5 linked regions of the Callithrix jacchus genome follow. The protein of the gene in region 4 binds, or shares a complex with, the protein of the main gene of each other region. Links are inferred from orthologs where the notes say so. Each region holds a gene or a part of one and is shown on either strand. Other genes may lie near its edges. The genes, in order: RAC1, CYBA, CYBB, NCF2 and RAC2.

Region 1 (6,353 bases), on a different chromosome or scaffold from region 4:
CAAGCAATTCCCCTGCCTCCTGAGTAGCTGGGACTACAGGCACATGCCACCAAGCCCAGCTAGTTTTTTTGGATTTTTAGTAGAGACGGGGTATCACCACCGTCTCTGCCCGTTGGTCAGACTGGATCTGAACTCCGGACCTCAGGTGATCCGCTTGCCTCCACCTCCCAAAGTGCTGGGATTACTGGCTTCAGCCACCCAGTCAAGCCGAAGGTGTATCTCTAACAGTTTTTGTTGTGTTTTTTTTAGACGGGATCTCACTCTGTCACCCAAGCTGGAGTACAATGGCACGATCTCAGCTCACTACAACCTCCGCCTCCTGAGTTTCAAGTGATGCTCCCACCTCAGCCTCCTGAGTAGCTGTGACTACAGGCTCATGCCTCTACACTTTGCTAATTTTTATATTTTCAGTAGAAATTGGGGGGGGGGTCTCATCATGTTGCCCAGGTTGGTCTCGAACTTCTGGGCTCTAGTGATCCACCGGCCTTGGCCTCCCAAAGTGCTGGGATTACAGTTGTGAGCCACCTGACCTAGACAGGTATATTTCACTTGTAATATCACTTAGCGCTAATCAGCATCAATAGTAAACATAGTATTAAAAAATAGACTGTGCTTGCTCAAACACTTGTAATTAAAAAAAAAAAAAAAGACTGAAAACTCAGGGCCACAGGCTTTTAAGCCTAATACTCCCTTCGCAGAGCCTCACAGTAGTGAAACCAAAGCAATAATACCTGGCACTTACTAAGCACTCAGCAAGGAGCACCTGCAAGGTAGTTAATGATCAACATCTAGTTTAGTCTTTTTGACCTTCTGCTGAGGCGCCTCTCTTGCCGGGGTGGGTGATGTGCTCAGGGTTATCCCATATAAGTGGTGGGGTGGGGATTTGAAGGGAGGATCCACATTCCATGATAGGCCTTCAACAAGTTATTTGACTAGACAAAACAGCCAATTCAAACAGAGGTCTATAATCTGTTAGTATTAAATAAATGTATGTGCTATGCTTATGTTTTAGCTTTAGAAATGTTCAAATAATTATCAGCAATATGATTAAAAAAAAAAAAAAAAGGCTGAGGTGGGCAGATCACGCGAGGTCAGGAGTTTGAGACCAGCCTGGCCAACATGGTGAAACTCCATCTCTAACAAAAAATACAATAAAAATTAGCTGGGCATGGTGACAGGCACCTGTAATCACAGTCACTCAGGAAGCTGAGACACAAGACTCGCTTGAACCCGGGAGGCAGAGGTTGCAGCAAGCAGAGACTGCACCACTGCACTCCAGCCCAGGCAACAGAGTGAGACCCTGTCTCAAAAAATAGTAATAATAATAATATGGTCAGCCAGGCACAGTGGCTCATCCCTATCATCCTAGCACTTTGGCCTGTCATCCTAGGCCAAAGTGGACAGATCACCTGAGGTCAGGAGTTCAAGACCAGCCTGGACAACATGGTGAAACCTCATCTCTACTAAAAATACAAAAAATTAGCTGGGTGGTAGCACGCGCCCGTAACACCACCTACACAGGAGGCTAAGGCAGGAGAATCGCTTGAACTCAGGAGATGGAGGTGGCAGTGAGCCGAGATCACACTATCACACTCCAGCCTGGGCAACAGACTGAGACCCCATCTCAAAAAAAAAAACAAACAAACAAACAAAAAAAAAAAAACTTGATTCAGCGTTTTTAGCTTAAAGGAAATCCAAATAATGTTAAATGTTCTTAAGAAAAGGTGGGCCAGGTGCCATGGCTCACTCCTGTAATCCCAGCACTTTGGGAGGATAAGGCAGGCAGATCACTTGAGTCAGGAATTCAAAATCACCCTGGCCAACATGGTGAAACCTCATCTCTACTAAAAATACAAAAACTAGCCAGTCGTGGTGGCAGGCACCTGTAATCCCAGCTACTCGGGAGGCTAAGAATCGCTTGAGCGGGTGAAGTGGAGGTTGCAGTGAGCCAAGATGGCACAACTGCACTCCAACCTGTGTAACACTGAGAGACCCTGTCTCGAAAATTTTTTTTTAAATGAAACAATTCACTGATGTCACTATCAATCAATTGACTGAACACTTTTCCCAAATAAAAAAGTAAAGCCCAGCCAGGCACAATGGCTCATGCCTGTAATCCCAGCACTTTGGGAGGCTGAGGCAGGAGGATCACAAGGTCAGGAGGTCAAAACCAGCCTGGCCAATATGGCGAAACCCCATCTCTACTAAAATTACAAAAACCGGCCAAGCATGGTGGCACGTGCCTGTAATCCCAGCTGCTAGGGGGGCCGAGGCAGGAGGACCACTTTAACCTGGGAGGCAGAGGGTGCAGTGAGCAGAGATCACACTGCTGCACTCTAGCCTGGACAACGGAGTGAGACTCCGAGTCAAAAAAAAAAAAAAAGCTTGAACAGCATACGTACTCTAACTGAAAGTTACAATTTTTAGTTATCATATAAACATAAAATTATGAGGCGTTAATAATCCTTCACACTTGCAAGACAAATCCGACAGATGGGCCTCTCACAAAAATCAGTTGTCTAATTATCCTCTTGCATCTGAATTGCAAGAAGGATAACTGAAACAATTGCAAATGTCTTAACAGTATAATTATCTAAATACACTGAGAATCCATGAATTGACGTAGAGGCATAAAACCAAAACCTAATGACAAATTCGAAGAATATCAACCAAGTTAACCTTGATGCCCTAACTTTCCTTCGACTTTACTCGAACATGTACCAGTTGCATTCTGAGTTTGACGAAACTGTTAGTAATTCTTCCTTGCTAACACTAACCTATACAAGCGACGCCTGAGACGCGCGATTTTGCTCGGGTTACACTGAGATTTTTGTTTCTATGGGAGAAAAAAACGGCATAAAACAAGTCTTGTCCTTCTCGAGGGCCTGTAACCAACACGGACAGTCATGAAAAGCAACGCCTGGAGTCACAGGAGCCAGTTCTGCTACATCCCATACCCAACGCGTTAAGCAAGAAAGTTTTTTTTTTTTTTCAATGACCACACCACGTTTAAAAAAATAAAATAAAATAAAGAAAGATAAAAGAACAGTCCCCATCACAGATGGCTCCTGCCAGGGAGCATCTTAAAAACTTTATCCTCGGAAAGGGAGAAAGCATTAATTTTAGGAATCCTAACAGTGGCAGAAGTGTAAGTCGAAAAAACCTGCTCAAAAATCAGTTTGGGGGCCGGGCGCGGTGTCAACCCAGCGCTTTTGGAGGCTGACAGGCAGGAGGTTCGCCTGATCCCAGCCAGGAATTCGAAACCAGCCTGGGAAATACAGTGAGACCCCATTTCTACAAAAAGTTTTAAAAATTAGCCAGGCGTAGGCGCCTGTAATCCCAGCATTTTGAGAGGCTGGGATGGGAGAATCGCTTGAACCCAGGAGGAGTTCAAGACCAGCTTGGGCAACACAGCGAGACTCCGTCTCTGCAAAAAAAAAAAAAAAATTTTTAAAGAAAACTTTGGGGCACTAAAGCGGCCAGTTCAATCGGGCACGCATCAAATATGATCGACTCAACCGCCGGGTTCCCAACACAGCTCTCGAGGTCCAGGGATCGAGAGGTTCAAGCAAAAAAACAAGAGAGGGTCCCTTTTTGGAAAAACGGTAAAAATCTCCAAGAGCGCTTCCTCTACGAGGGCTCCCGGGGAGGGCGGCGGGCGGCGGGCGGCGTCCGGGAAGAAAGCCGGAGGGTGGAGTTCACTTTTTCCACCGGCCGGCGAGTGGCGAAGCCCTCCCCCAGCGAGAGCCGGAACCAGGCACGCGCCGCCCGGGCAGCCGGCGCCCGCGGCCCCCGCCCCGTGCCCCACAGGCCCAGGCCCACCGCCTACGCGAGCCCGCCAGGGATCCCGGCCTGCCTGGGCCCCAATCCCGGCCCGCCCCCCGCCCGCGCCCACCCCGGCCCGCGCCCGCCCCCGCGGCCCCCAGCCCAGACCCGGCAACGCACTTACCCGTCTCCCACCACCACACACTTGATGGCCTGCATCTGGGCCGCTCGCTGGGCCGCGGCGGCAGCGGCACGGCGCTGAAACGGGAAGCGGCGGGCTCGGGGCGCGGCGGACGGGCGCGCGGCTTGAGGACGGCAGGGCGCTGGATGCCGGGGCCGCTGTCCACGCCGCCTCGCCCTCCGCGGACTGGAAGCCGAAGCCCGGCAGCGGCCACCACCCAAAGCTGGGGAAAACTGCAGAGAAACAGGAAATGGCCGCTCCACTCACATCCGGCCTCCCCTCCCCCGCGCCGGCGCCGCCGCTCCCAGGTTCCGGGTGGGGCAGCTCCCGCCCGCGCGGTTCCCGGAGTTCCTCTGGGCTTCAGGAACGCTCGGAAGTGCTCGGGCCCGCTTGTCTCCGCCCACGGGGCGCGGCGGCTGCCATCTTTGCGCGCTAACGCGGCATAGGCGTGGCGGGATCTGCGGGTCCTTTCTCTGGGGTTCAGTGCGCGGTGGCTCAAGCCTGTAATCACAGCACTTTGGGAGGCCGAGACGGGTGGATCACGAGGTCAAGAGATCGAGACCATCCTGGTCAACAAGGTGAAACCCCGTCTCTACTACAAATACAAAAAAATTAGCTGGGCATGGTGGCGTGTGCCTGTAATCCCAGTTACTCATGAGGCTGGGGCAGAATTGCCTGAACCCAGGAGGCGGAGGTTGCGGTGAGCCGAGATCGCGCCATTTGCACTCCAGCCTGGGTAACAAGAGCGAAACTCCGTCTTAAAAAAAGGAAAGAAAAACCTGTAGTAGCTGGGCGCGGTTGCTCATGCCTGTAAACCTGACACTTTGGAAGGCCGAAGTGGATTACAAGGTCAGCATTTCGAGACCAGCGTCCGGGAAGAAACGAACGCTGGTGAAAACCCGTCCCTACTAAAAAAAATACAAAAATTAGGCCGGGCGCGGTGGCTCATGCCTGTAATCCCAGCACTTTGTGAGGCCCGAGATAGGCATGGGAGGCCTAGGCGGGCGGGAGGCCCGAAAATACGGATGGGAGGGCGAGGCGGGCTGGTGGCCCGAGATAGGGAGTTCGAGACCAGCCTGACCAACATGGAGAAACCCCGTCTCTACTAAAAATACAAAATTAGCCGGGCGTGATGGCACATGCGTGTAATCCCAGCTACTTGGGAGGCTGAGGCATGGGTATCGCTTGAACCCAGGAGGCGGAAGTTGTGGTGAGCTGAGACCGCCCCATTGCACGCTAAACAGGAGCGAAACTTCGTCTCAAAAAAAAAATTAGCCGGGCGTGGTGGCAGGTGCCTGTAATCCCAGCTACTCAGGAGGCTGAGGCAGAGAATGGCTTGAACCTGGGAGGCGGAGGTTGCAGTGAGCTGAAATCGTGCTACTGAACTCCAGCCTGGGCTACAGATTGAGATTCCATCTTAAAAAAAAAAAAAAAAAAGAGGAACCTGTGGTTGCAGGAGCCAAGCTCCCTGTTGCTAACACCTGCTTGAGGCCATCAGAAGGCATTGATTCCTCCTGTTTCATTCTTTATCTGATAACTATCTGCGATTACATTAGATCCTTCTAGAAAATTCGGATTCTAAAACTATAAGGAAGTCTAAAATCATACACCATACCTTTATTTGGCAATAACAATGTCCATTCAGCCAAAAAAAAACAAAAACAAAAAACAAAAACTGTTGCTGGCAGGGCCCGGTGGCTCACGCCTGAAATCCCAACAATTTGGGAAGCCCCGGGCAGATCACTTGAAGTCTGGAGTTCGAGATCAGCCTGGCCAACATGGCAAATCCCCGTCTCTACTAAAAATACAAAAAATTAGCTGGGCATGGTGGCGGCTAATTTTAGTCCCAGCTACTCGGGAGGCTGAGGCATGAGAATCGCTTGAACCCAGGAGGTGGAGGTTGTACTGAGCCGAGATCTTGCCGGTGCACTCCAGACTGGGCAACACAGCAAGACTTCTCAAAAACAAAAATGTGTTGCATGTTCTCGTTTGTCGCATATGCATTTTCTGTTACTTGTTTTTAGCTCATTTAGTGCTGTGCTTTCTGCTTTGTACCAAGTTCTGGAGATAATGGCTGTTAGACGGTGAAAGTGCAAATATTTTGGTATATTTCCTCTTTTCCTCTTAGTTATCTCTTGATATACATAAAGAACTTTTTTGTGTGTGTGCTGTGACTCGGACCTAAAGAATGTTTTTTAAGCAAAATCAAGAAATTGTACACAGTTGTAACTTTTTTTTTTTTTTTTTAATAAAATACAGGTAGGATCTCATTATGCCCAGTCTGGTCCCGAACTCCTGGGCTGTAATGATCCTCTCACCTCGGCCTCCCAAGTAGCAGGGATTACAGGTGGGTGCCACCACACCTAGCTAATTTTTCTATTTTTTTATAGAGATGGAGTTTCTCCAT
Region 2 (6,356 bases), on a different chromosome or scaffold from region 4:
TTACCACATAACCTCAAACTTACTGTCTCCAGCCAGGCGTGGTGACTGACACCTATGATTCCAGCACTTTGGGAGGCTGAGGCAGGTGGATCACCTGAGGTCAGGAGTTCAAGACCAGCCTGGCCCATATGGTGAAACTCCATCTCTACAAAAAATTCAAAAATTAACTGGACAAGGTGGTGGGCACCTATAGTCCTAGCTTCTCCAGAAGCTGAGGCAGGAGAATTGCTTGAACTTGGGAGGTAGAGGTTGCAGTGAGCCAAGGTCATGCCACTGCACTCCAGCCTGGGCAACGGAGTGAGACTCCGTCTCGAGAGCATAGGATCCCGCATCCCATGGGTGGAGACATTCACAGGGTTGTGAAGCCACCTCCTTCACTTTTCCATCCCTGTCTCCATAGCAGCCACCTGCCATCTCCCCTCCCTGGGCCCTGCCAGCTAGGAATACCTTCCTGTCTCTGGCCTTGCCTGTCCTAGACGCTTAGAGAAATGCACATGTGTACCATGCCCCTGCCCTGCTTTTCCAGGTTTCTGAGGGGGCTGCAGGTGAGGCCAGCCTCTCTCCCCGCTGAACTTAAGGCTGCGCTGGCCATGGAGCCGACTCCTGGTGGGGTCAAGTACATCATCGCCACTCAGGTGAGGCCCAGTACCCTGTGGGGTTTCCTTTCCTGCCAGAGGGGCCCGCCCAGGCTCAGCCCTGCTCCCTGTCCCTACCGTGTTTCAGGCCAGAATGCCTTTGGCACTTGCATTTCATTCATTTGCTCTCAAACAGGAGGCTGCAGGCCACTAGCGAGGCCAGAGCAGCAGGACTGGGCCAGGCTGGGGTGGAAGGATGAGTCTGATGCAGGCTCCCAGGGAGACAGGAGGGGAGTGCCTGGGATGGGTGCTGCTGGGGCTCCCCCCACCCCAACTGGCCCAGTAGACCAGGACTCCTGCTTCTGACCTGCTCAGGGGGCCAAGCCCTTGTCAGCGATCACACCCGCCCGAGCCATTGCCTTCAACTTCCTCTCAAGGGCCGCGGGCACAGGGCTGTGTGCTTCCAGGCACTGTGGTCCTCTGTCTACCCAGTGACAGGCAGTGCCCCAGGCAGAGGGCCCCCAGCTGGCAGGGGCATCTGTGCCTGCAGGAGCTGGGTGTGGGTGTCACTTGGGTGGCATAGCTTCTGACCAGGACCCACTGCTGCTCTCCTGTGTCCAGCCCCTACACATGCTGGGGCACAGGGCAGTGTGCTGCCATTGCTGGTGACCTGACATGGATCTCTACCTCCAGGTGGGGCCGGGGCCTCAAATCCTGGATGACCCCTACACCCACCTCCTGGGTCCTGATGGCCTGCCGAAGCCAGCTGCCTGACCGCCTCCGCAGGACTGCACGCCACCTGGAGAAGGGGTGTCCTCACCAGAGCTAGAAAGCGGGTGTGGTGGACTGGCTGGACCGCTGGGACTTGTGTGTGGTGGCCTGGCTTCGGGCCCATGGGCAGCGTGCTATGGGGCAGTGCGGGGAGACCTGCGGCTGCCGGATGTCAGGAGAGGCCCCCACCGAGTGCCTCAGCTACACCAGCACTTCGCCAGGATGGATGGGGTTGGGGCATGAAAGCTGGCAGAGCCAGGTGCGGCAGGGCTGAAGGGCTTTCTCACCGCGCTCCGGCCGTTCCCACTGCTCCAAGACGGGAGTTCGGCAGGAAGTTGGCATCCCTCAGGGCCAGGGAAGGGGTCGCTGTGCTGCAGCAGCCACCTTGGGCCTCAGGAAGCCACCAAGTGTCTCCGATGAGACCCCCAGGCCCAGGTGTTACGGGAATGGTGGCAGGAGTGGGCAGCAGCATGGCCCTCGTGGCCGTGGGAATAAAGTGGCATTGCGGCCTCTGTCTCCTGCTGTTTTCCTTCTTTTGTTGTTTAGATTCAGTGAGGTCCTCCTGTTTTCCTGTTTCCTAAACCAGCATTCCTGGGCTCCTGCTCAGAGTGGCCTGGGACTTGCAGGGAGTCCAGGTGTGCCCTGTGAGGGCCTGGGGAGCCAGGTAGAGGCATGGGAGGCTCCCCTGAAACCCCACAGTGCCTCAGGCCGCCCCTAAAGTCTTCCCATGGGCACTGGGCCCACCTCCCACTTATCACCTCTGCTGCCCTCTCCTCACCCTTACACCAACCCTTGCCTCCCATCCGCAGGCTGGACATGACAGGGCAGCTGTCCCTGTCCCCTCCCCCTGAGTCACAGTCACAGTGCAGTGATGGCGAGGGGAGGCCCACAGTGTCAGACTCAGGCCACGCCTGTGCCAGCCTAGAGTCAGGGTGAAGAAATGGGGGCAGGGCCTCAGGCTGCCACGGGGAGGCCACCCTTGGCCCCTGTAGCATCAGGGTGCAGAGGTGTCCTGAGCTGTAGGGGTGGCCCCCAACCCCCAAGGCTCGGGAGAGGCGGATCTGCTCAGGAAGCTGACCCTTCACACCTTTCTCTGCTGTTCCTAGAAGGCTTGTTGACACAGGACAACAAGGACACAGTGGTACTTTGGAAGTCCTGCGCTGGGCAGGGGCACTAGTCAGTGCGGGAGAGCAGAAGCTGGGAAACGCAGACGCCCCGCCTGGCCTGGGGCTGCCACGCTGAGCCCCTCCTGAGCCTCGGTCGCGTCTGGAGAGGGCGAGGGCAGAAGGCTCCGGGACAGCCCCGCACCCTAGAGGCGGGTCTCCGCCCACCCGCGGTCACCTGGGGGGCTGGGGGCGGGGCCGGGGCGGGGCGGGGCGGGACTGGGCCGGGAGCGCAGGGGCGGCAGTGCGCGCCTAGCAGTGTCCCAGCCGGGTCTGCGCAGCCATGGGGCAGATCGAGTGGGCCATGTGGGCCAACGAGCAGGCGCTGGCGTCCGGCCTGAGTGAGTGCGCGGCAGGGGCGGTGGAGGCTGCAGCCTGGGGGTGTCCCGAGACCCCAGCCGGGGACCTCAGACTACTTACCGGGCGGGGAAGTGGGGCACCAGGCGGCTGGGCTGTGATGGGATCAGGCCCGGAGGGTGCGGGGAACGGGGGCTGGAAGGAGGAGTTCCGAGACCCCGAACAGTCCGCTTGCAGACCCAGCGGAGCGGCGCCTCCTCCCCCATTCGCTTCCCTCAGTCCCCGACTCCGCGAAGGAGGAAGTTGCAGCGCAGGGAAAGAGGCGGTTCAGCCCCGGTGGTTTCCGGGGTGATCGCCGCCGCCCCCCCCCCAGGCCCCTGAGTGGGGGCTCTGGCCTGGACATCGGGAGAAGCTCCCCTCCCTTCGGTAGCCAGCTGGGCTGGGGATCAGGCCCCCCTGGGCTTGGGGTGGGAAGGTGGGCTCCTCATGCTGTGGGGCTCAGCCCTCCTCATCTGGAGTCGCCTGGGATTTCACAAGGCACGGAAACCACCGGGTGACCGCCCTGCCCAGCCCAGTCCAACATCCCACCCTGCTGCACATTTGCCCTGATCTGCCCACCCCAGCCTCCCCACCCCCTCCTCCAGCTGCCGGGGCTTCCTTTCTGTTCTGTATGTTCTAAGCATGCCCAGGGCCTTGGCACAAGCTGCTGCCTCTGCAGAGCCTCATGGCTGTCCCATTTCTTTCTCAAATGCCACCTGCTTGGGGAGGTCTCCAGAACGTGGAGCCCCAGGAGGCAGCTGGCCCTGAGAGAGTGGGGCCCTTGACAGAGTCCCTGTACACAGCAGGTGCTCTATAAGTGTGGCTGGGTGCCACAGTATGTCCTCAGGCCTCCCTGGTGGCACCAGCAGCAGCCTTGCACCCTCTTTCGGAGGGCAGGCTCAGGACTGGGACACTTCCCCAAAGATGCACGGATGACAGGCTGAGTGGACTGAAGGACACTGCCCTGCCTTCCTCCAAGGCAGATGGGCAAGGTCAGGGAGTTAATGTGTAGCTGAGCTCAAACCACGGATAGGAAATCTTCAGGGAAGAACAAGGGGTGACAAGAGCAATGCTGGCAGGGTGAGGCGGCCACACCTGTAATCCCAGCACTTCGGGAGGCTGAGGTGGGAGGACTGCTTTAGCCCAGCGGGTTGTGACTGTGACTGTGGCACAATGAGCTGTGTTTGTGCCACTGCACTGCAGTCTGGGTAACAGCAAGATCCTGTCTAGAAAACAGTAAGCAGGGCCAGGCACCATGGCTCACGCCTGTAATCCCCGCACTTTGGGAGGCCAAGGCAGGTGGATCACCTGAGGTCAGGAGTTCAAGACTAGCCTGGCCAATGTGGTGAAACCCCGTTTCTGCTAAAAATACAAAAATTATCCAGGCATGATGGTGCACGCCTGTAGTCCCAGCTCCTGGGAGGCTGAGGCAGGAGAACTGCTGGAACCCAGGAGGTTGCAGTGAGTTGCGATTAGGAGAGCCACTGAACTCCAGCCTGGGTGACAGAGGGAGACTCTGTCCCCCCCCCAAAAAGAAACCAGTAAGAGGGAGTATCAGAAAATAAGCAAAAGAAAGGGGCAGAAATGGCCCCATCAGTCGGAACCAAAAGTAAGACCGACAGCTGCCGGGTTTGGAGAAGCTCTGCGCCAGGGACACTCCCAGATGCAGAAACCACACTGGGCATATAGGCTTTCATGCATCAAACAAAGACACGGTGACAAGTATGTCCATTCGGGGGTCCCAGAGCCCAGGAGCACAGGCCCACTGGTGCCTGCAGGTCAGGCCGTCCCTTGGCCGCTCCTGGGCCTCGGAGCCCAGGCACGTCACACACTCCACTCCGCCAGGCCATGCGCCACCAGCTCTGCTCTTCACCAGCGCAGGGGGCTGCCTCCTGGGGTGTCCCCGACTCTGTCACTGTGCTGTGGGGATCCGTAGGGACAAACACATGGACTGCAGAAGACAGTTCTTGGTGGCCTGGTGGCCCATGGTAGAGAAAGGGGGTGGCCCAGGCCTCCAGGATGGGAGCCACTCAGTGCCTGACCCACTTCTCCCCGCAGTCCTCATCACCGGGGGCATTGTGGCCACTGCCGGGCACTTCACCCAGTGGTACTTTGGAGCCTACTCCATGTATCCTTCCACCTGAGGCGGGGGTGGGCAGGGAATGCCCAGGGCAGAGCCTGGGAGCCACTTCACAGGGAGCACTTTGCTTCCGCTCCCCAGCACTGCAGCCAGGCTGGAAGACAGGGCGGGCTGTCCAGGGGTTGGGCAGCCCAGGCCCCTAGCCTGGGCCATGTGGTGGTCAGTGGCAGACCTGCCAGCCTGAGTCCTAGCGAGGGGTGGGCAGGTGGTGTCCCCTGAGGGCCAGGGCCAGGGCCAGCACTGGGGCCTCCCTAGGACTGCTGGGATCCCCATTAGTCATCCACCTTGGCCAGCCCCTCCACCTCCTCTGCCCCATCTCAGCCCTGCTGCCCTACCAGACCTCCCAACAAGGAGCAATGGGCAGGGTGGTATGAGGGCAGGTGTGGGCCAGCCTCAGGTGCACCTCCTGTGGCTGTTTCCTGCCCTGTGACCTCAGGCAGTGGCTGCCTCACCCCACTTTTTTTTGAGACAGGGTCTCGCTCTGTCCCCTAGGCTAGAGTGCATCGGTGCCATCATGACGCATAGCAGCCTCCACCTGGGCTCAAGCAATCCTCTCACCTCCGCCTCTGGAGTGTCTGGGACCACAGGCGCATGACACCGCACCTGGCTAATTTTTAAATGTTTTGTAGAGATGAGGGCCTCACTATGTTGCCCAGGCTGGTCTCAAACCCCTGGGCTCTAGTAATCCTCCCGCCTCAGCCTCCCACAGTGCTGGGATTCCAAGCGTGAGCCGCCATGCCCGGCCCCTCTTCATGCTGTCTTAGTAAAGAGGGCTCACCGTGTGGCCCCTCAGGCTGAACTGGGCTGTTCCTTAACCACATGGCTTCAGTGTGGCGGGCGTGTTTGTCTGCCTGCTGGAGTACCCCCGCGGAAAGAGGAAGAAGGGTTCCACCATGGAGCGCTGGTGAGTCACCTCCTGCATGCTCTGGGGTCTGTCCCAGGGCTGTGGGGCCCAAGCAGGGCCCACAGGGTCTGGTATGTGGAGTCTGGTTCCTCGCTCGGAGGCTCTGGAACCAACCATTCGGTCCTTGTGGGCAAACCCAGGCCCGTGCCTGCCTGGCATGTTGCCTGGGAGGAAAGAGGCCCGGGTGCCCTGGAGCGGTCCGGAGTGGGAGAGGCCCACCTCACTGTCCCCCTTCCTCCCTCCCACAGTGGGCAGAAGTACATGACCGCCGTGGTGAAGCTGTTCGGGCCCCTCACCAGGAATTACTACATTCGGGCCATCCTGCACCTCCTGTGAGTCCCGCCCCACCCCACCCCACCCCCTCTGGGGCTCAGGACGGCTTGGAGCACTGTCCCACCTGCCGGGCTGCCTGGCCTGGAGCCACTGCCACTTACCTGGACATTTTTCTAAACCAAAATTCGGGTCCC
Region 3 (5,619 bases), on a different chromosome or scaffold from region 4:
CAAACCAAGCCTGACTAAGCCAGTCTATCTTTGTCTTGAATCACACCTTGAATCTGCCTGATTCCATGCATTACTTCTACATTTCTCCCTACCTGGGGAGTACAACATGTATTCCACACACCCATTGCCATCCTCATTTGTCGATGCACATACATGTTTATAACAGCTTTATTCATAATAGCAAAAACCAGGAACCAATACAAATGTCCACCAACTATTGAGTGGATAATTTTTTAAAAAAACAGAACATAATGAAGGGCAATAAAAATGTAATATACTGTTTATTTAGTGATTCCTAAGACTTCTAGAAGGAACTTTATATGTATAACTAAAGACAAACCAAGGGACATCAAAAGAAAGAAAAATCAGTAGAAATAAAATAGCATAGCAGCTTCCAAATGTTAACTGATATTGCTGGGCTTTTCTCAAACAGGGAGTTGTGGAAGAGTGGGAAACTATTTTTTTTTTAATTGTCAAATGTTTCCAGAACTTGTGATTTAAATGCATCTTACACGTTAAAGCTAAAACCAACTTCCCTTCTGCTCTGAAATAAGGATTTGTAAAGCTTCATTTTGAAAACAGAAAATTAAAATTATGTTGAAAATTGTTTACCATGTTGTAATTTTGTGTGGTGGAAACAATTTTTACCATATTGCAATTTTGCTATCATAGACACAGATAAGATGTAAGTAAATAAGGGGACAGCATTCTCATTGGAATACTTTTGGATAACATCTTGTTTCTCATACTTATTTATATGGGAAGAAAATGAATATCTATTTTCTTCACAGGAAAACAAGTTTTCCTTAAAAGTTTAAGAAAAATACTTGTCTGGTTCAGTCACCTATAGTCTAGTAAGGGAAATTTTGCAGCAACTTTTTTTTGCTGATTTGTGGGATTATTCTTATAGTACAATATAAATGTCAGAAAAGGAGAACTGTTGTGGTTCCCTATGTTTCAAGACTTCCAAATCCAGCAAATGAGGAAAGATAGGGTGGAGGACAGGAAGAATTTGTGTGTTTTGCAAAGATAACCCATGGTAGGGTTTTGGCAAATACCTTTTGAACTGAGCTGAATTGAATTAAATTTTATTTGCTAAAGATATACTTTCTTGATGTTTCCTAAAATTATAACAAAGAGTTCCATTTACATTTATTTAGTTGTATATTTATTTATTTTGTGATAAGAAACAGATTAGCCTTCAGGAAAAGCCACTCTAGACTTGGAAACAGGAGATCAAATTTGAGAGGCAGCTTAGTTACTAACTTGTCTGAAATTTGGGGCACTTCGACTTTCATATAGATTATTACATATACAGCACAGAAAAGGTGGTAGATAATCGGGAAAACCATCTCAACCTTTTGGCATCGGAAAATTTTAAGACTCAATTTATGCCCCTTTAAACTCACTTCTTTTTCTTTTCTGCTCTTAACTAACCAAATAATGCCTCTGTGCCTTTCCCCTACACACACACACACACACACACACACACACACACACACGGTGAGTGGGGGAGATTTATGCACACAAACAACTTAGCTTCATTTTAACATCGAAAATGGTAACTTGTAGTTTCCCCAGTTAAAGACACAAACATTTGACTATTGAGTTAAGTAAATTGAAATAAATTGTAGGTCTTCTCTTTGCTGTAACTTTAATTAAAATAAACTGAGTAAAAGACTACTCTGATCAATGCTATAGAAAAGTTGGATAGACTTGTCCATGATATAGTTACACGCTGACCACTAGTAATTACTAAATCAATCAATACCTTGGTGATGACCACCTTCTGTTGAGATCGCCAAAACCGCACCAATCTCTCACAGAGATACAGAAACATGGGACCTACAATCCATTTCCAAGTCTGTAATCAGAGCAAAAATTAAAATGAGATACATAAAGTGGTAATAGATAACAAAATATTCAGAGGGGAAAAATTTCAGAAGTCAAGTTAATCTTTGTAGGCTTGCTTAAATATTTGACATTAGATAAATAAATTTTTCTCTAATGGAATATATGAAAATATCTGAAACTAAGATAATTTTGATCCAGTAAAAGTAAACATTCCCCTTAGTCACATTGGGGAACTGTACTGACAATATAAAACTTTCCCAAGAGGAACTGCTCACAAGAGTGGGATTTCCCCTCAGTGTTGCAACTACAGTTGCAATAACCCTATAACAAAGCAAGGTTGGTTTCAGAATTAACATTTCTCTAAAGGATAACTCAGCAACACAATATTTTTAATGCAACATTGTGATTGCTTTCTCTTAGCTATGTAGTCACAGTGACAAATTTGAAAGATGACAGATTTTATGCAAGAGTTTGGCTGTTTCTGCAATATTCTGATAAATTCTTGGAGTATGCAATGCACTTGCTGAATGGAGACAAACCCAGAGCTTTTCAGACTTTAGGTATCTCTTGGGTCAGAACGTGCAGTGTTTCAGAACACTGGAATTACTCTGTAACATTGTTGGGGGTACAAAAACATTGAGGCCAAACAGATCCATCCTGAGATGCAGCCAGCTGGATATCTGGTTTAATACCTAAAGTAGCAAAGAATTTTAGAAGGCAAAATTATCTAAAAGATGACTTTCTGGGATGTATTCTAACAGAAAAAAACAGAGTGCTTCCCATCATCTCACATATAATCTTTCTATGAAATTACTTTTACAGGAAACTTACTCTTGGAAATTGAGAGCACCTGAATCTCCCCATCTTCAGCCAAAGTTGAAGAATAATATAAACAGAGTTCTGCTGTTGGCCTTTGTTTTGATGGGATAGATATTTAAAACAGTCTCAAATCATCCATCTGTTTCCTGGGTGCTACTATGGAGCCCTACTGAATGGAGCCAGATTTGGATATTGCTGCTAGTATCTCTAGAAACTCTTTGAGGTAGGTTTCTGTTAAGGTGCTAGTACTCTGACTCTAGCTGTCATCAAGGAATGTGCCTTCCCCTGCCCACAAGAGGACTGGCAATACAGTTCCCTTTTTTATCCTTTCTATTGATGTCTGCATGTAGTGGAGCCAATTCACTGATTTGTCTGGTTGCTTTCGTTAATGGGATAGGATGCTTAAAGATATTAAGTCCTCAGATAGTATGCTGTGTCTAGAGAAAGAGTAATCCTATGCTAAGAGAGTAGGAAAAAAGAAAAGATAAATAGAATGGGATATTTCCCTTCATGTTGTACTGTGCTTCAGGAAAAAAAATAATCCTCTTCAGAAGCTCTGCACAAATGTTGATTTTTGCCTAGTTTTATACCAACGGCTAGCATAATAACCAACAAAGTATACTGTCTGCCAATGGGCAGAATGATATGATGATTACAAGGCCCATATCTTACTCCATGGAACAGCGATATGAGAATAAACAAAATGGAGCCCTTCAGAGCTCCCAATAGAGCAAAGAAAGTATTCATCATGCATTTCCTTGGTCATTTGCCGCATTTCTGCCTACCACATGATGCCATTGAGTGTTCATATGAACCTGGCTGTTTAGCCTCCTTTATGCCTCATAAACAGAAAACTCCTAATGCCTAAAGGTAGCCTTATGTGCCACCTCATCAATTTCCTTTTTAAATCTGAAAGCTGTACAGAAAGTATCATGTGCTGGTATCTCAAGAAGCCCCTTACTCCTTATAAATGATTTACTTGAGCTATTCAACTCAGCTCAAGATGGAATCCCTAGTGTCCCCTAAAAATCATTAGCTGGTGTTGTCATGAAGAAAAGAGATAGAACCTCTTGACCAAAATAGCACTTTTAAAAACACTATTTTTCCAAGTTTTATATCAGGATGTTGATAACAAAACAATGCAAAGCTTATTTTTCAAGAAAGAGTTATATCCAATAAGTATAGCAGAGAAAAGTAGACACATGTTTTAGCTGTTCCATGACATTTGTAATGGACATCTATGTAGATGTATAACATCTGTACATGTTTCTTAGGCACAGGTAAAGGATTGTCAGTAATGAACTGTAATAACAACAATGAACTGTACATACCATAGGAGGGTTCCCAGCAAACTGAGGGATTGGGCATTTCTGTATTTTTCCCCATTCTGAGATTTTGTTTTCACACTCCATTGGATTGTGCTCTTTCAAACTCTTTGCTGTCTGCCCACGTACAATTCGTCTGGGAGAAAAATGTAAGTCCAGACCATTTAGTAATAGGAAATTAAACTGTTTTATTAAAAGATTCTAGACATGTTTTCAGTGCTCTGATGTAGGTCCTGTACTTCTCACTTAAAAGTGATAGCTTATTGCTCCCTCTGAATAGATTAAAGGAAAGAAAATGTATAATATGCAGCAATAGAAAAAGACATATGTTCAATTACCAAAGGGATATTTACATGTAACATTACAGAGGGTAAGTCTTGGATCATTAATATATGTTCTCTTAAAGGGAGAATTTATACTTCTGTCTCAAGTATCATTTTCATTTACAAACAAATAAAAGCAGAAAAATTGCAAATCTAACAGAGTGACTGCTGGTCCATACAGTGCCTTTATGCAAATTAGAAAAAGGTACACTTTCTATAAGGATAGTCCTACTAGCACAGGGCTCAATCATCAAAGTGTGGGCTAACTTTATCGTCTTTGGCACTCACTATAGTGGATGACCCAGACAATCATACACAGTAGCCCTGAAGGTTACCAGAAGTGCCTTATTTGTGGGTTCAGAAATTATCTAAATTAAACCAACATTTTGAGACCAGTTTGAGATACTTAACATTATAGGGCTTATGCCATTCTCACTGACATCAACAATAATAGTGTGTACCTTGAAGTGCTCAGAGCCCATCAATTTCAATTCAATAAATGTTAGATGAGCAACTATCAAAACATAAGACAATTATTGGTGATAGAGGAAGGCACAATGTTGAGTAGACATCAAGGAACATAAATGACAGTGTCTTCAGAATACATAGGAAGAAAAGATGAGAGAGGACTCAAGATGGTGCTGTGAGAACAACCCAGGATTGAAGCTCTCGAATGCGCGGAGAGGGTAAGTCAGGGCCGCATTTCCAGACGGATCTTTGTTGCCCACAGAACGGGGAAATTCCCAGGTATAAAAGAGATGCGGGACGCCAGGCAGAGGTTTTGGCTGGTGCAGCCAGCAGCCAGCAGCCACCAGCCGGTGCGGTGGTGGCCCGTGCTGTAGCACAGCGGCGCTATACAGTGCTCCGCACAAAGTGCACTGGTCCGGGGGCCCTGTTGAACCAGCAACCTGAGACTTTAGAGGGCTGAACTTGAGACCGAATGGGACTTGGACAGTAAGCCAGCCCAGGAGATTCCAGGGACACAGCGTCTGGGGTAGCACAGTGGGACAAACAAAACAGCGATTCCAAACACTCCCGGTAAAGAGGTTCCCTGAGGGAGCAGCTCCGTGTGGGAGGGGCGTCCGCCATTACCGAGGCAATCCGCCCCTACTGAGGTACACGCCCATTGCTGATGCAGCCTGCCGTTGCCGAGGCAACCCGCTACAACAGAGAGACTCCGCCGCAGGGCGTAGCCTGTGGCAGCAGGGCAGAGACCGCAGCAGAAGGGCAGAGACTGCAGCAACAGGGCGAAACTCACACCAGCAGGGCGGAGCCTCGGCAGGCAAATAGTGACTAGA
Region 4 (6,080 bases):
AGACTGCCCGGAGTGTGAATTACATCAGTTTCCACATTCTTTCTGATTTGCAGTTTTTCCAAGCAGAGCCATATTACTGGAACAAAAGTTTGATGTTTATGTCCAACAAGCTCTGATATTTTATAGATACATTTGTATAGAGCAAGACTTCTTGCTCTAAACCCTGGGTGACCACAAAGAAACTGAGAGGCCATGCTTATTGGATGCTGAGGGAAAGTAGCATACTTAAACCCACAGTACAGATGATCTGGAGGCAAGCAAAGACAGAGCTACAGCTTGGTAGTGGTAGTCACCCACCACTTATTCCAAAAACATATTTTGCTTAAATAAGGGAAGTATGGTCCAGTTTTGCAATGTTAATAGCTGCCAGTCTCATATTTTTTTTTATAAATATCATTTCCTGACTAGCAATGAGCTAGGAAACTGGCCTCAAATTCTGACTAAATCTCTCAGTATTAATTAAAAATAATACAAAACAAAACAAAAAACCAGCCAATAAGGGTTAAAAATTGCACAATTAAACTTGAATGTAAATTATACTATATACAGATTGGTATAAACATCACTGAAATGGTTTTGAGAGGATGAAACACTTCTATTGTAACATAATTTCTTCAATATTATCCCAATTTTCATTGAAGGAAAACTGATATGTAATTTTCTTCTTTACAGATATGAAAAAGGAAGCAAGAAGGCAAAGCTGAGAGAAACAGATGCTACCCACAGGGCAGCGGTGGCATTTGGTTGTTTTGGTCTTTGTACCAGCAATTCCCACTCCCGAGGCAGATATCCACTTCCTGCCAGACTACACGGTTTTTCTTGCAGTCAAGACACGAACAATGGACCCTACTCCTCCAGCAGCAAGTGCCTACAAACAAACCAAGATGTAAATGTTGACAGAATCATAAAGGATCAATTCTCATAAGTAAAACATTTTTCTTGAAGAAGGAATGGGCATGGCTATAGACCTTGAATTTATTATTTAGCAAATAATAAATTCTTAAGCACCAATTACATACCCGGTACTGTTCTTGACACTGGGGTTACAGTAATAAACAAAACCTTAAAAGTCCCTGCCCTTATGAGCCTACATTCTAGTGAGACACTAGTTTACATTCTTCTGTATTAATTCTAAATAATGTTTAAAAAAATCTGCAGCATAATGTTCCTGCTCAAAACAGGTGGAAATTCCAAATCTCTCATTCTCACCATATAGCCAGAAGAATATTCAAACTGGGATAACCCATCCCAACTTGTACTTCAACTGGAGCCTCTGTCAAATTGTTTTCTCCCAAAGAAAGAAGGTATTGCTTAATAGCGAAGAACTTAGAAACTTTAACTCTGACTCTAAGTTGAAAAATGGAAAGTAATGATCAAGTATTAGGGATCTGAGCTCTGGTTTATCTCTGTTCAAAAAATACTTATGGAATAACTCTGTATTCTGTGGCAGATGCTGGGGATATAAAAGTGAACAAATACAGCATTTTCCAGTCTAGCACGAGGAGACAGACCTATAAACATATAATTTTAATCTTATGTATGAAAAGAGAGTTGTACTTTGGGTGTTATTAAAGTACCAGGGAGAGGCATATACCCAGATTAACAGTATAGAGGAATGTTTCAGCTAAGGCTTCCTGGAGGAAATGACACATTAAAACAATGAGTAGGTGACAAGCTAACACCAGAAAATCATGAGCAAATGTATAGAGGTGTGAAACGATATGGTGTGTTCAGGAAAAAGGCTGGCACTGCTATAGTCTGAAGGGAAGAATGACATGGAAGATGAGGCTAGACTTGGGAACTCTGACTTTATCCTGCAGGTGACTGACAAGAGCAATTTTGATTTTAAAGAAATCATTCTGATGGCTGGGTGGAGAACAGATTTGAGGGAGACAAAACTGGTAGCTGGGAAACCAGTCAGGAACCTATGGCAACAGACTGGGAGAGAAGCTGTGAACAGTTGCATTAGATAAACTTGAACAGACAGATTTCAAAAATACTTAGAAGACTGGTAAAAACTGGTGACTGACATTTGGAAGAAATGAAGATAACACATGTCTCAGTTTCCTCAGCTACCAAAGAAGAATAATATCAAGGTTTCCCCTCCATTTTTATGAGGATTAAATGAGTTAATATTTAGAAAGTCTTTGGAAGAGTATCTGGAATATACTAAGTGCTCAATGAATGTGCACTACAATCCTGAGGCTATACTAGAACTAAACTGCCTGGGTTTTAAAGCTGGCTCTTCATCTGTAAATTGAGGATAAAGGTATTTATATATTTCACGGGGTTGTTGTAAAGATGAAATAAAACATAAATAATATGTTGCCTAGCAACACAAAGTGTTCCATGAATAGGATGCCATATAAATTACTATCCAAACTGGTATATTTTAGAGTAAAAGGGGTAACTATTTATAGTTATGATGGGACAACAGGCATAAATTGGGGCTATACTGGGAAAACTGTGAGGAATGGTTACCCTATCCATAAATGGGAGTTCTTTTTGATAGTGTATGAGGGATAAGGTGACTCGACCAAGGATAAACAAGTTTTACTATGTACTTTTTTCTTACGTGTGTGTTTTCACTCATACACTTCAAACACTGAATATTTTTATGGTTGGTTCTATTTAAATGTTATTCAATTTTTTACCCAAAGTTCAAAATCCCTTCTACTCCTTTTTTTTGACAGATGGTGTACAGGCAACTACACTGCCAAATACACGTGTGAAAATAGAAAAAAATGATTTAAGAATTCTTAATCCTCCAAACCCCTAATTCTTTAAAAAATAAAGTTGTAAAACATATAACACAAAATTTGCTATTTTAACCATCTTTAAAAGTAAAATCCAGTGGCATTAATTACATTCACAATGTACTGTAGCTATCACCATGAACTGTTTCCAAAACATTTTTTACCACTCCAAGCAGGAACTCTGTACCCATTAAGCACTAACTCTCCTTTCCTTGCTTTCCCTACTTCCTGGTAACCTCTAAGGACTTTCTGTCCTTTTGTGTTGCCTATCGTAGATTATTTCATATAAATAAAATTAGAAGATTTGTTCTTTTGTGTTTGGCTCATTTCGCTTGGTATGTTTTCAAGGTTCACCCATGTTACAGCATGTGTCAGAGTGTCAATCATTTTTATGGTTGGATCATATTCCACTGTATGTACCACAATTTAGCTGTTTGTCTGTTGATGACTCTTGGCTTGTTTTCACCTTTTGGTCCCTGTGAAAGAATTCTTGATTTTTATTATTTCCTTTTACAAAGTTTTGATTTAATTCAAAGTTCAAGATTATGTTTAATTACTAATAATCACTGCTGAATAAACCCAAGTATTGGAATCAGAATCTCTTAAGACTAAGCCTAGTAAACATAAATATGAACTATAATTTTCATGCATTTTATTTGCAGTAACAAAAATGTACAACCAAGTCAAAATGGTTATTTAGGTGAAAGAGGTTGTCACTGTCATTCCCTACTGTAAAAGAACCAGTCATATAGATTTATAATTCATAACTTACCTTTTCATGCCACTGCAGTAACATAGCACTGCTATTATCAGAGGGGCTCTCAAATCCTTTATAAATATACTTCATTAGGAGATCCACACCATTCTTGTCCAGAGATTGAACTGCCTTTTCAATATCATTAGCTTTAAAAGAGATGAGCACCTTCAAGACAATGCTGCCTGCCCGGTCCTGGTGGGTAAATAAATAACAGAACATTTAGACATATGTGTATGAGGAGGGTTTACAATTTTAGAAAGGCCACATTAAGAAGGTGACATTTGAGTAAGAACCTGAAGGGCGTGAAAGAGGAAAGGTTGGGATAACTGAGGAAAGTGTTTCAGACAGAGAAAAGACTAGCGCTATTAGTGTGTGTTCAGTGTGTTCTAGGAATAGAAAAAAAACCCAATGTGGTTGGAGTGGATTTGTTGGAGAAAAGCCGGTGAGCAAGTCAGAGGCTGTGGGAGGACAGACTGTGTAAGGCCTACAGGCATTGTAAGGACTTTGGCTTTTACTGAGAGAAATGAGAAGACATTGGAGGGGTTTAAGAGCAGTGCCATAATCTGACTCACATTTTAACAGGTTCGCTTTGGCATCTATGCTACAGGGAATAAGCTGTGGGAGTAGGGGACAAGGTAGAAGCAGAAGAGCAACTAGGAGGTAACTGCAATAATACAGGCTGGATGTGGTGAGCAAAGTAGCAGTGAAGGTGGTTAAAAACTAGATAGACTATTGACATAATTGAACGAAGAGCTGAGAGGATTTGCTAACAGATCAGGGTGATTCATGAAAACAATTCATGAAAACATTTTATGTCTTGAGCTTAAAAAAAAAAAAATCCCCATAAGACAGCCAGGCATGGTGGCTCACTCCTGTAATCCCAGCACTTTGGAAGGCCGAGACGGGGATCACCTGAGGTCAGAAGTTCGAGACCAGTCTGGCCAACATGGCAAAATCCCGTCTCTAATAAAAAAAAAAAAAAATTAGCTGGGCATGGTGGCATGCTCCTATAATCCCAGGCTGAAGCAGGAGGAACGCTTAAACCCAAGAGGCGGAGGTTGCAGTGAGCCGAGATTGCACCACTGCACTCCACCTGGACAACAGAGTGAGACTCTTGCCACAAAGAGAAAAAAAAAAATCCCAATAAAACAAGGAAGCGGATTTGAAGTTCTACCTTGAACTATCCTTCAGAAGTAATGTTTTTTAAAAACTTTTTTATTTTAAAATTTTAATAAACCAACTTTTCTTAAAAGAAAACTGGCTGTAATTTATATGAATTGACTATAAATATGAAAGATAGTGATGTTCATTAGTAATGATCTTTTTACTTGGCAAAAGCCTGCTTCAAAAGCAGTTATTTTCTTACCTATCCGGCCAAGCAAAGGGAACACTTAGCTGACCTTTTCAACAATTCGTTTCTCCTTCTATTCAACATAATGTGATACCTCCAGCATTCCTACTGGTCAGGACTTCACAGAATGTTTCTACCACCCACTGTTATCTTTGGTTTAAAGATTATGCAATTATCAGAGTTAGGAAAGCATCTTTGCATCCAGAATTATAACCTCCCACATAAAAGCAAAAGGTGGTAAAAATGAAATTTCAATGACATTATTTACGACTTGTAAAAAAAATCAAAGAAATTTTCCCCATGATGTTGCCTAGATAATTATTATGCATTTACCTAAGTTATTACTTACTACTATTCAATTGAGATTCTTGAAGCTCCTAGGATGCATGATAGCTATGGACAATGCGGTTGATGCTATGGACATCATTTTAAATAAATACGTAAAAATAGGTTCTTAAGAATTAGTAAAAGACTGCAGAGAATGTAAGTTGCACAACTGTTCTGAAGGGCAATTTGGCAATACCACATATATCAAAAGCCTTAAAAAAAGTGCATTCTTTGATTCAATAATTCATGGCTATGCATTTATTGAAAGCGAGTAATCAAAAATTTACCAAAAAATATTCATTTCAGTGGTTTACAACAAGAAAAAAACAGTCTAAATATATAACAAAACATTAATTATGTATACACTGCAGCTTATCCATATACAGCTGTTAAAAATGCTATAGAAATAAACTTAATGCAAAGGAAAGCTCATGTACATTGCATACTGCTGAAAAAGCAGGTTATAAAATTTCATTCTTAAAAAACAAAAGGGAACTCTGTAACAATATAGGAAGGCCCAAAAGTAGTAACATCTCTGGGTGGTGGGACTATGGCTACTATCTTTTTAACCTTTCCATATGTCTGAGCCTTCTACAATAAACATTTAGTATTTGTATGTTTTTAAAAAAATCTTTAAAAAGCAATTACAATCTGTTTACTTTTGTAAAGGTTTGTTATTTTTCAAGCCTTTGTCTAAATTCAGCATGAGTGGTCTTCTCTAAAAACACACACAGATGATTTCACTATCATTTGAACTTACTGTGTCTTACCACGCAGCATTATTGTAACTCTACATTACAGGGCTACTTTTTCATGTGAAATTCTTGCCTATCAAACTACATTAGAAGCTATTCTATGTCAAAGATAGAAAAAGGTAAAAAATACTGTT
Region 5 (6,079 bases), on a different chromosome or scaffold from region 4:
AAATATTCGCGACGTTGTGATTTGCTCTATTCACCCCACTGTGTGGCAGAACACCAGAACTTACTCTTCCTGTCTCATGGAAGCTCCACGAATGTTCTTTCTCTGTTCCAGGTTCTTTTTTTTTTTTTTCAAGACCGAGTTTCTCTCTTGTTGCCCAGGCTGGAGGGCAATGGCGCGATCTCGGCTCACCGCAACCTCCACCTCCTGGGTTCAGGCAATTCTCCTGCCTCAGCCTCCTGAGTAGCTGGGACTACAGGCACGCGCCACCATGCCCAGCTAATTTTTTGTATTTTTTTAATAGACATGGGGTTTTACCATGTTGACCAGGATGGTCTCGATCTCTTGACCTTGTGATCCACCCTCCTCGGCCTCCCAAAATCTGTTCCAGGTTCTAATTTGGGGTACCGCACTGCATTTAATACGTTATCCTTTTGTTTTTTAAATTAACACGGAGGTTGCCCTAGGGACTAGCAGTGGGTGGAAAAATAAAGGGGCAGTGAAGGAGGAAGCCCCAGGGTGGCCACAGGGAACGCCTGGCGTCTCCCACCCAAGGTCTCAGCACAGCGTATGCAAAGCGCGTTGGAGAGACACTGGTTTGCTGGTAAGTGTCACAGTTGACTTGCCCGGTGCTGGGCAGGCGCTTTAGGAAGTTGTGTTTTCCTCTCTGTAAAAATCAGTGTTGTGAACGCAGTAACTTGTGTGAACTGCTCTGAAAGGGCTCGGCCTCCAGGAGCCTGCTGAGAATCCTGGGCTCTGCCAGCCAGCGGGCCCTGGCCCTCTGCACACTCCTGTGGGATTCCTGGCTTGTCCTGAGGGACGGTCCAGGGTGGATGACCAGTGGCTCTTCCTCTCCCTGCCTCTGTCCCTTCCCCCTGGACCTGGAAAGGCGTGGGGTTGGGGAGTGATCACGACGATCAGTGAACTTGGTGCCAACAGGGGTGATCGAATGTTCTCCCGAGTGTCCTCGGAGAGCCCTCGTGGCTAAGGGAGTTCCCTGAGAGCTGGAGAATGCAGGCTTTGTCCCCTCAAACAGCAGCTGGAGCCAAGAGCTCCAGTTGGAGAAGAGCTTGGAGTAAACTGAGCGTCAGGGTGGTTTCAGGCTAGGTGGTCAAATGACTTCTCAGACCGTCAGTTTTCACATCAGGGAAGTGGGCCACAGTTCCTAGATCCAGAGTGCCTGGTGACCCAGGGCGGCCTCAGGACAGGCTTGGTGCCTGTAGGGCACTGCCTGCCACTTCCCCTCAACATGCCTTTCTCCATCTGTGGACCACACCTTCCCTTCCTGCCTCATCACTCCCCATCCTCCCACACAGGCCCTTCCCTGGCGGAGCCCCTGGGTCCTGGCTCAAGAAATCTCCGTGAACCTGGAGTACCCTCTTTAGAGCAAATGTTTCAAGAGCCAGCTCCAATGCTGCTTGCAGGCCCCCAGCTCTCCCTCTCGGTAACACTGAGGTCCTCTCTGTAGAGTCCCCATTGCCCCAGTCACTTCCTGCCTGCTTTCTAATCTCCCGTGATGAAGTCCTGCCTCCCCCTCTGCAAAGGGTGTAAACTCCAGGGACCAGCTGTCTCTTGTATCCTGGGATCACTAGCACCTGGTAGTATGTCTGGCACACAGTAGGCACTCATTAAATGCTGTGCTTAGAACTGAGGTGTACTTGGAAGCCTCACGTTCTTGGAGAACAGCCTCTGGGCCTGCCCAGTGGTCAGAAATTGAGCCTCCTACCACAGAGGGGAGGCCGGAGGTGGGGGGCTGCAGGGATGGCCAGGGCTCAGCCAGCACCTGAGCGCCCCGCCCACCAGCTGCTCCTCCAAACCGAATGCTCCACCCCCTGCAAACGACCTTGAGGGCAGCAGCTTGGGTAAGTTCCCCTTCCGCTTCCTCCCACCCCACCACTGCTGCTCTTCAGCAGGCGCCTTGCCAGCCTCCACACCCCTTGTGCCTGCAGAAACGCGCCTGGCCCTGAGCTGTCACCACTGACACTGTCCAGGCCCCGGACACGATGCAAGCCATCAAGTGTGTGGTGGTTGGAGATGGGTAGGTGCCTGGCTGGACCTCCTCACAGCCCCCAACTGGGATGCTGTGAGATCCTCCCGCCCTGGTGTCCCTGGGGAAGCCCCTGGCTCTGCAGAATTAGGTGTCCCTGGAAGGCAGCTTGGAGGAGTCGCTTCATTCTTCTCCTAGGGCTCACAGCTAGCACCCCGGGGTGGGCTGAGGACAGCTTCACCCTCTTCAGCCCACCCACCCTGGAAGCCATCTGGGTGGAGGGTGCAGGACTATGGCTGGGAGTGCCCAGGCCCCTTACCTGCACCCCCAAAGCTGGGGGCAGGTCTCCCACGGAGGTGAGCCTCAGCCTTCAACTCTGTGGATGCACCCGCGAAGTGGGAAACCAGAAATTCAGCCTTCGTCCCCAGGCTGACTTGGGCTCTCGTCACTGGTTTGGTGCTGCTGTGTGGCCTTGGGCAAGTCACAGCATGTCTCTGAACCTCAGCCATCTGGGAGGAGGAGGCCTATGCCCTAGGGATGCTGTGGGGTCGCTGGACATAAGCTGAGTGGCTGTCTTGCTTGTAATGTGTGCTCAATAACCACCCCCTGCTGGTACCACCCCCCCCTCTCTCTCCCTTCCCCTCAGCCTGCTGGGTTGGGGAGGATGTGTGGGGGATGTGGGCGAGGAGCAGAAGGGGCAAGGGGACGTTGAGAGACAGAGAGGAGAGGGAGGAGGTGGCCGCAGGATGGGAGGGCGATTGTGGGATCTGCAGGGGAGGGGCAGGCTGGGCTGACACCTTCTCAGTTGTCAGATCCCAGTGACCCCCAGGCTGTCATGTCTCCTGGGGAATCTCGGTTTCCTCATCTGTAAAATGACGAGTCTAGGCCAGGTGCAGTGGCTCATGCCTTTAGCCCTAGCGCTTTGAGAGGCCAAGTGGGGAGAGTTGCTTGAGACCAGCCTAGGCATTCACAATGAGAACCCATGTCTACAGAAACTTTTTTTTATCTTTTTGGCGGGGGGGGGGGGGTCTCACTCTGTCACTCAGGCTAGAGTACAGTGGCGCAGTCTTGGCTACTGTAGCCTCCGCTGCCCAGGTTCAAGCGATTCTCCTGCCTCAGCCTTCTGAGTAGCTGGGATTACAGGTGTATGCCACCACACCTCCCTAACTTTTGTATTTTTAGTAGAGACAGGGTTTCACCATGTTGCTCAGGCGCTGGTCTTGAACTCCTGACCTTGTGATCTGCCTGCCTGGCCTCCCAAAGTGCTGGTATTACAGTCATGAGCCACCAGGCCCGGCCACAAAAACATTTTTAAAAGCTAGGAGTGGTGGCACGCGCCTGTAGTCCCAGCTATCGGGAAGCTAAGGTGGGAGAATCGCCTGAGCCCAGGAGTTTGAGGATGCAGTGAGCTATAGTTGTGCCACGGGGTGACAGAGCAAGACCTGTCTCTTAAAAACACAAAATAAAGGGACAGGTCCCGTTTGTCAATCTGTCGTGCCTGCCAGCAGCCATGTCTTAGGGTCCAACCCACAGGCCCAGCTTGGGGCTTTCTGTAAGTCCATCGCAGCATGTTCTAGCTGGAAGGAGCCTCTTGTCCAGCCCTCCCATGCTACAGAGGAGCAGCCCAAGGCTGTAAGAGACTCAGCTGTCCTGGCCTGGGTCCTGTGGCCCCCACTTTGGCTCTGACTCATCCAGGTGGGGGTGGGCCCGTTTGCCCACCAGCCTCAGCTGATTCTGATACATGGCCGCTTATCTGCCCACGCCGGCCCGGGCCTGTTCACTTCTGCTTTCTATCTGATCTGAAGAGGGGCAGGCGGAAGTCAAGGGTTAACGTCCCAGTCATTCAAAGTTACCTCGGGACAGGCCCCGGGGAGGACTGTGGTAGAGAGGAGAGGATGAGCTGTCTCCTCTGAGCAGGAAGTGACAGAACCAAGCAGGGCAGGGGAAGGCCCAGAGCTGCCCCTTGGTCTCCGGGCTTTGGCTGAGCTACCTGCACCTGCTCCCAGTCTCAAATGCTGGGGGTGGGGGAGGTGCGCAAATAATGACGTTCTCCGATTACCGATCCCTTCCTTCCTAGGTACCAGCTCTGGGGTTAGCCCGGCCTTCTCTATTTGTCCTCTCACCAAACCTAATAGGTTTTTACAGGTGGGAAAATGAATTCAGGGAAGCTATGCAGTTTGCCCAAAGCCTCACAGGATTTGAACCCAGCCCATTCTGACTCAAACCCTGGTCTAGTAACTGCTCTGCTCCATGGGGAGGTGAGAGGGAAGAGCTGGGTCAGGCCTTCCCTAGCAGCCACCGGCTGCTGCCGTGCGTCAGGCCCTGTGCTAGGTGCTTCGATAGGCATCGTTGGATTTATTCCTCAGCACACTCCTATGGGGATGGGCTCATCCTGATTTTCTAGATGGAGAAACTGAGGCAGAGGCAGGTTAAGTGACTCGTCCAGGGTCATGCCACTGAGCTGGGATTTGAAGCCCAGGCCAGGCGTCGGGGCCCCTCGGCATGGCCTGAGTTTGTGGGGTACCCCCTCTGTGTGACATCTCTGGTCCCTGGAGAAACCTGTGGGAAATGCAGATTCCCAGCTCTGCGAACACCTGTGGGTCAGAATCTCTGGGGCTGGACCCTGAAGTCTCCACTTTAACAAACACGCACAGGACCTGCAGGCTCTCAGGTGTGAGAACACAGACATGGGGTGTCTCAGACAGGGAGACAGGGCCCAGAGGGCTAGGCTGGGTGGATGCTGAGGTCTTCGCAGAGGATGGGGCAGAAACCTCCCCATGTCTCCAGCAGAGCCCATGATCGCCGCCCTCTTGCACTTCCTGTCTTTCAGGGCCGTGGGCAAGACCTGCCTTCTCATCAGCTACACCACCAACGCCTTCCCTGGAGAGTACATCCCCACCGTGTGAGTTCCTGGGGACACGCAGGTGCTGGGAGGAGGGGAGAGAACGTCACCAAGTCGACCCGCTTTCAGGCACTTCCTGTGGGCCAGACCCTGTGTGGGCACCCGATGGGGTGCCAGAGCCACAGCCTCCAGTGGAGCAGAGCTGCCTGATGGTCCAGCCAAGAAGGCAGCACTGGCACTAAGAAGTGCTGGGGGTGGGGGGGGGGAAGGGGTGGAAAGGGAGGAAGGAAGGAGGCAGTGGCCTTTAGGCTGGGTCTCCAAGCAAAGCGCTGTAGAGGAAACGGCGGGCTTGGGCAGGAGCAGGGGCTGGGAGAGGAGCCTCTGTGGAGGCAGGCTGGGCTCCAGGAGGAGGTGATCCAGAGGGTCTGGCCCCAGGGAGCAGGGACACCTGGGGCCGTGGCATGCTGAGGGGCAGAACAGAGGCATCTGCAGGCCTCAGAGGCCCTGCGCTCTATTGCAGGACGTGGAGGCAGGGCTGTCATTGGACATGGCGGGAGTGTATTGGCGTCAGACTCAGGAGGGACGGATGACTGGGGAGGCACCAGCCCCTCTCCGGCCAGCCCTCAGGGGCCCACGTCACTCCTAGGACATTTCCTTGACTCCCTAGCATGGCACTCAAGGCCCCTGATGGCCTTCACTCAACCTCCTGCCTGGCCTCATCACCCATTACTTGGCTTCAGGCCCTGCCTCCCCTGGACCCTACTGTTCACCACAAGTTCCCTGCACATTCCTACCCCAGGGCCTTTGCTCAAGCTGTTCCTCTCCCCGTAGTGCTTTTTCTCCCCACATCCACCTGCCTAAAGCCTCCATACCCAGCTCCAGTGCCCCCTCCTCCAGGAAGCCTTTCTGATCTATGGTGAAGGGGTCTCCCCTCCCCAGAGAGACTTTATCTGATCTCTCCCATGATCATGAGCCTGTGGGGGACAGGGAGCCACGGCCAGTCCTTTCTGGGTCTCCCCATTGTCTTAGCACAGAACCTTCTATGTGGTATCATACACACCTTGCCTTACACACAACACATGTGTTTTGAGTTGACCTGAATGGAACATCATGGGAGGGACCGCAGGAAGAGCGATCATAGCCACCACCTAGCAAAGGCCTGCTTCGTGCTGGGCCCTGCACAAGATGTCATGCACACGTGATCTCATTGGATCCCCCTGGGAGATGGCCATTAGCATGCGCAGGACACCCAC

The links.
Region 1: NCF2 (region 4) and RAC1 share a complex: the UniProt entries of both Homo sapiens proteins name them as parts of the phagocyte NADPH oxidase complex. The link is inferred for Callithrix jacchus from reciprocal best matches to the Homo sapiens genes NCF2 and RAC1.
Region 2: NCF2 (region 4) and CYBA share a complex: the UniProt entries of both Homo sapiens proteins name them as parts of the phagocyte NADPH oxidase complex. The link is inferred for Callithrix jacchus from reciprocal best matches to the Homo sapiens genes NCF2 and CYBA.
Region 3: NCF2 (region 4) and CYBB share a complex: the UniProt entries of both Homo sapiens proteins name them as parts of the phagocyte NADPH oxidase complex. The link is inferred for Callithrix jacchus from reciprocal best matches to the Homo sapiens genes NCF2 and CYBB.
Region 5: NCF2 (region 4) and RAC2 share a complex: the UniProt entries of both Homo sapiens proteins name them as parts of the phagocyte NADPH oxidase complex. The link is inferred for Callithrix jacchus from reciprocal best matches to the Homo sapiens genes NCF2 and RAC2.

What each region holds. Positions count from the first base shown.
Region 1 is NC_133503.1:16,112,432-16,118,784, reverse strand, and holds the start of RAC1 (ras-related C3 botulinum toxin substrate 1), read right to left. Parts: upstream 4,192-6,353; 5' UTR 3,985-4,191; coding exon 3,950-3,984; intron 1-3,949. UniProt on the Homo sapiens protein: Plasma membrane-associated small GTPase which cycles between active GTP-bound and inactive GDP-bound states.
Region 2 is NC_133521.1:46,306,550-46,312,905, reverse strand, and holds the start of CYBA (cytochrome b-245 light chain), read left to right. Parts: upstream 1-2,752; 5' UTR 2,753-2,792; coding exon 2,793-2,850; intron 2,851-4,903; coding exon 4,904-4,973; intron 4,974-5,814; coding exon 5,815-5,889; intron 5,890-6,137; coding exon 6,138-6,221; intron 6,222-6,356. Other genes in the region: MVD (diphosphomevalonate decarboxylase), read left to right, coding at 527-635, 1,269-1,349. UniProt on the Homo sapiens protein: Subunit of NADPH oxidase complexes that is required for the NADPH oxidase activity that generates, in various cell types, superoxide from molecular oxygen utilizing NADPH as an electron donor.
Region 3 is NC_133524.1:38,583,491-38,589,109, reverse strand, and holds part of CYBB (NADPH oxidase 2), read right to left. Parts: intron 4,135-5,619; coding exon 4,005-4,134; intron 1,865-4,004; coding exon 1,772-1,864; intron 1-1,771. UniProt on the Homo sapiens protein: Catalytic subunit of the phagocyte NADPH oxidase complex that mediates the transfer of electrons from cytosolic NADPH to O2 to produce the superoxide anion (O2(-)).
Region 4 is NC_133519.1:41,800,320-41,806,399, forward strand, and holds the start of NCF2 (neutrophil cytosol factor 2), read right to left. Parts: upstream 3,708-6,080; 5' UTR 3,706-3,707; coding exon of another isoform or gene 3,529-3,705; intron 869-3,528; coding exon of another isoform or gene 806-868; exon of another isoform or gene 1-805. Other genes in the region: ARPC5 (actin-related protein 2/3 complex subunit 5), read right to left, coding at 806-868, 3,529-3,705. UniProt on the Homo sapiens protein: Subunit of the phagocyte NADPH oxidase complex that mediates the transfer of electrons from cytosolic NADPH to O2 to produce the superoxide anion (O2(-)).
Region 5 is NC_133502.1:208,153,961-208,160,039, reverse strand, and holds the start of RAC2 (ras-related C3 botulinum toxin substrate 2), read left to right. Parts: upstream 1-1,889; 5' UTR 1,890-2,000; coding exon 2,001-2,035; intron 2,036-4,814; coding exon 4,815-4,886; intron 4,887-6,079. UniProt on the Homo sapiens protein: Plasma membrane-associated small GTPase which cycles between an active GTP-bound and inactive GDP-bound state.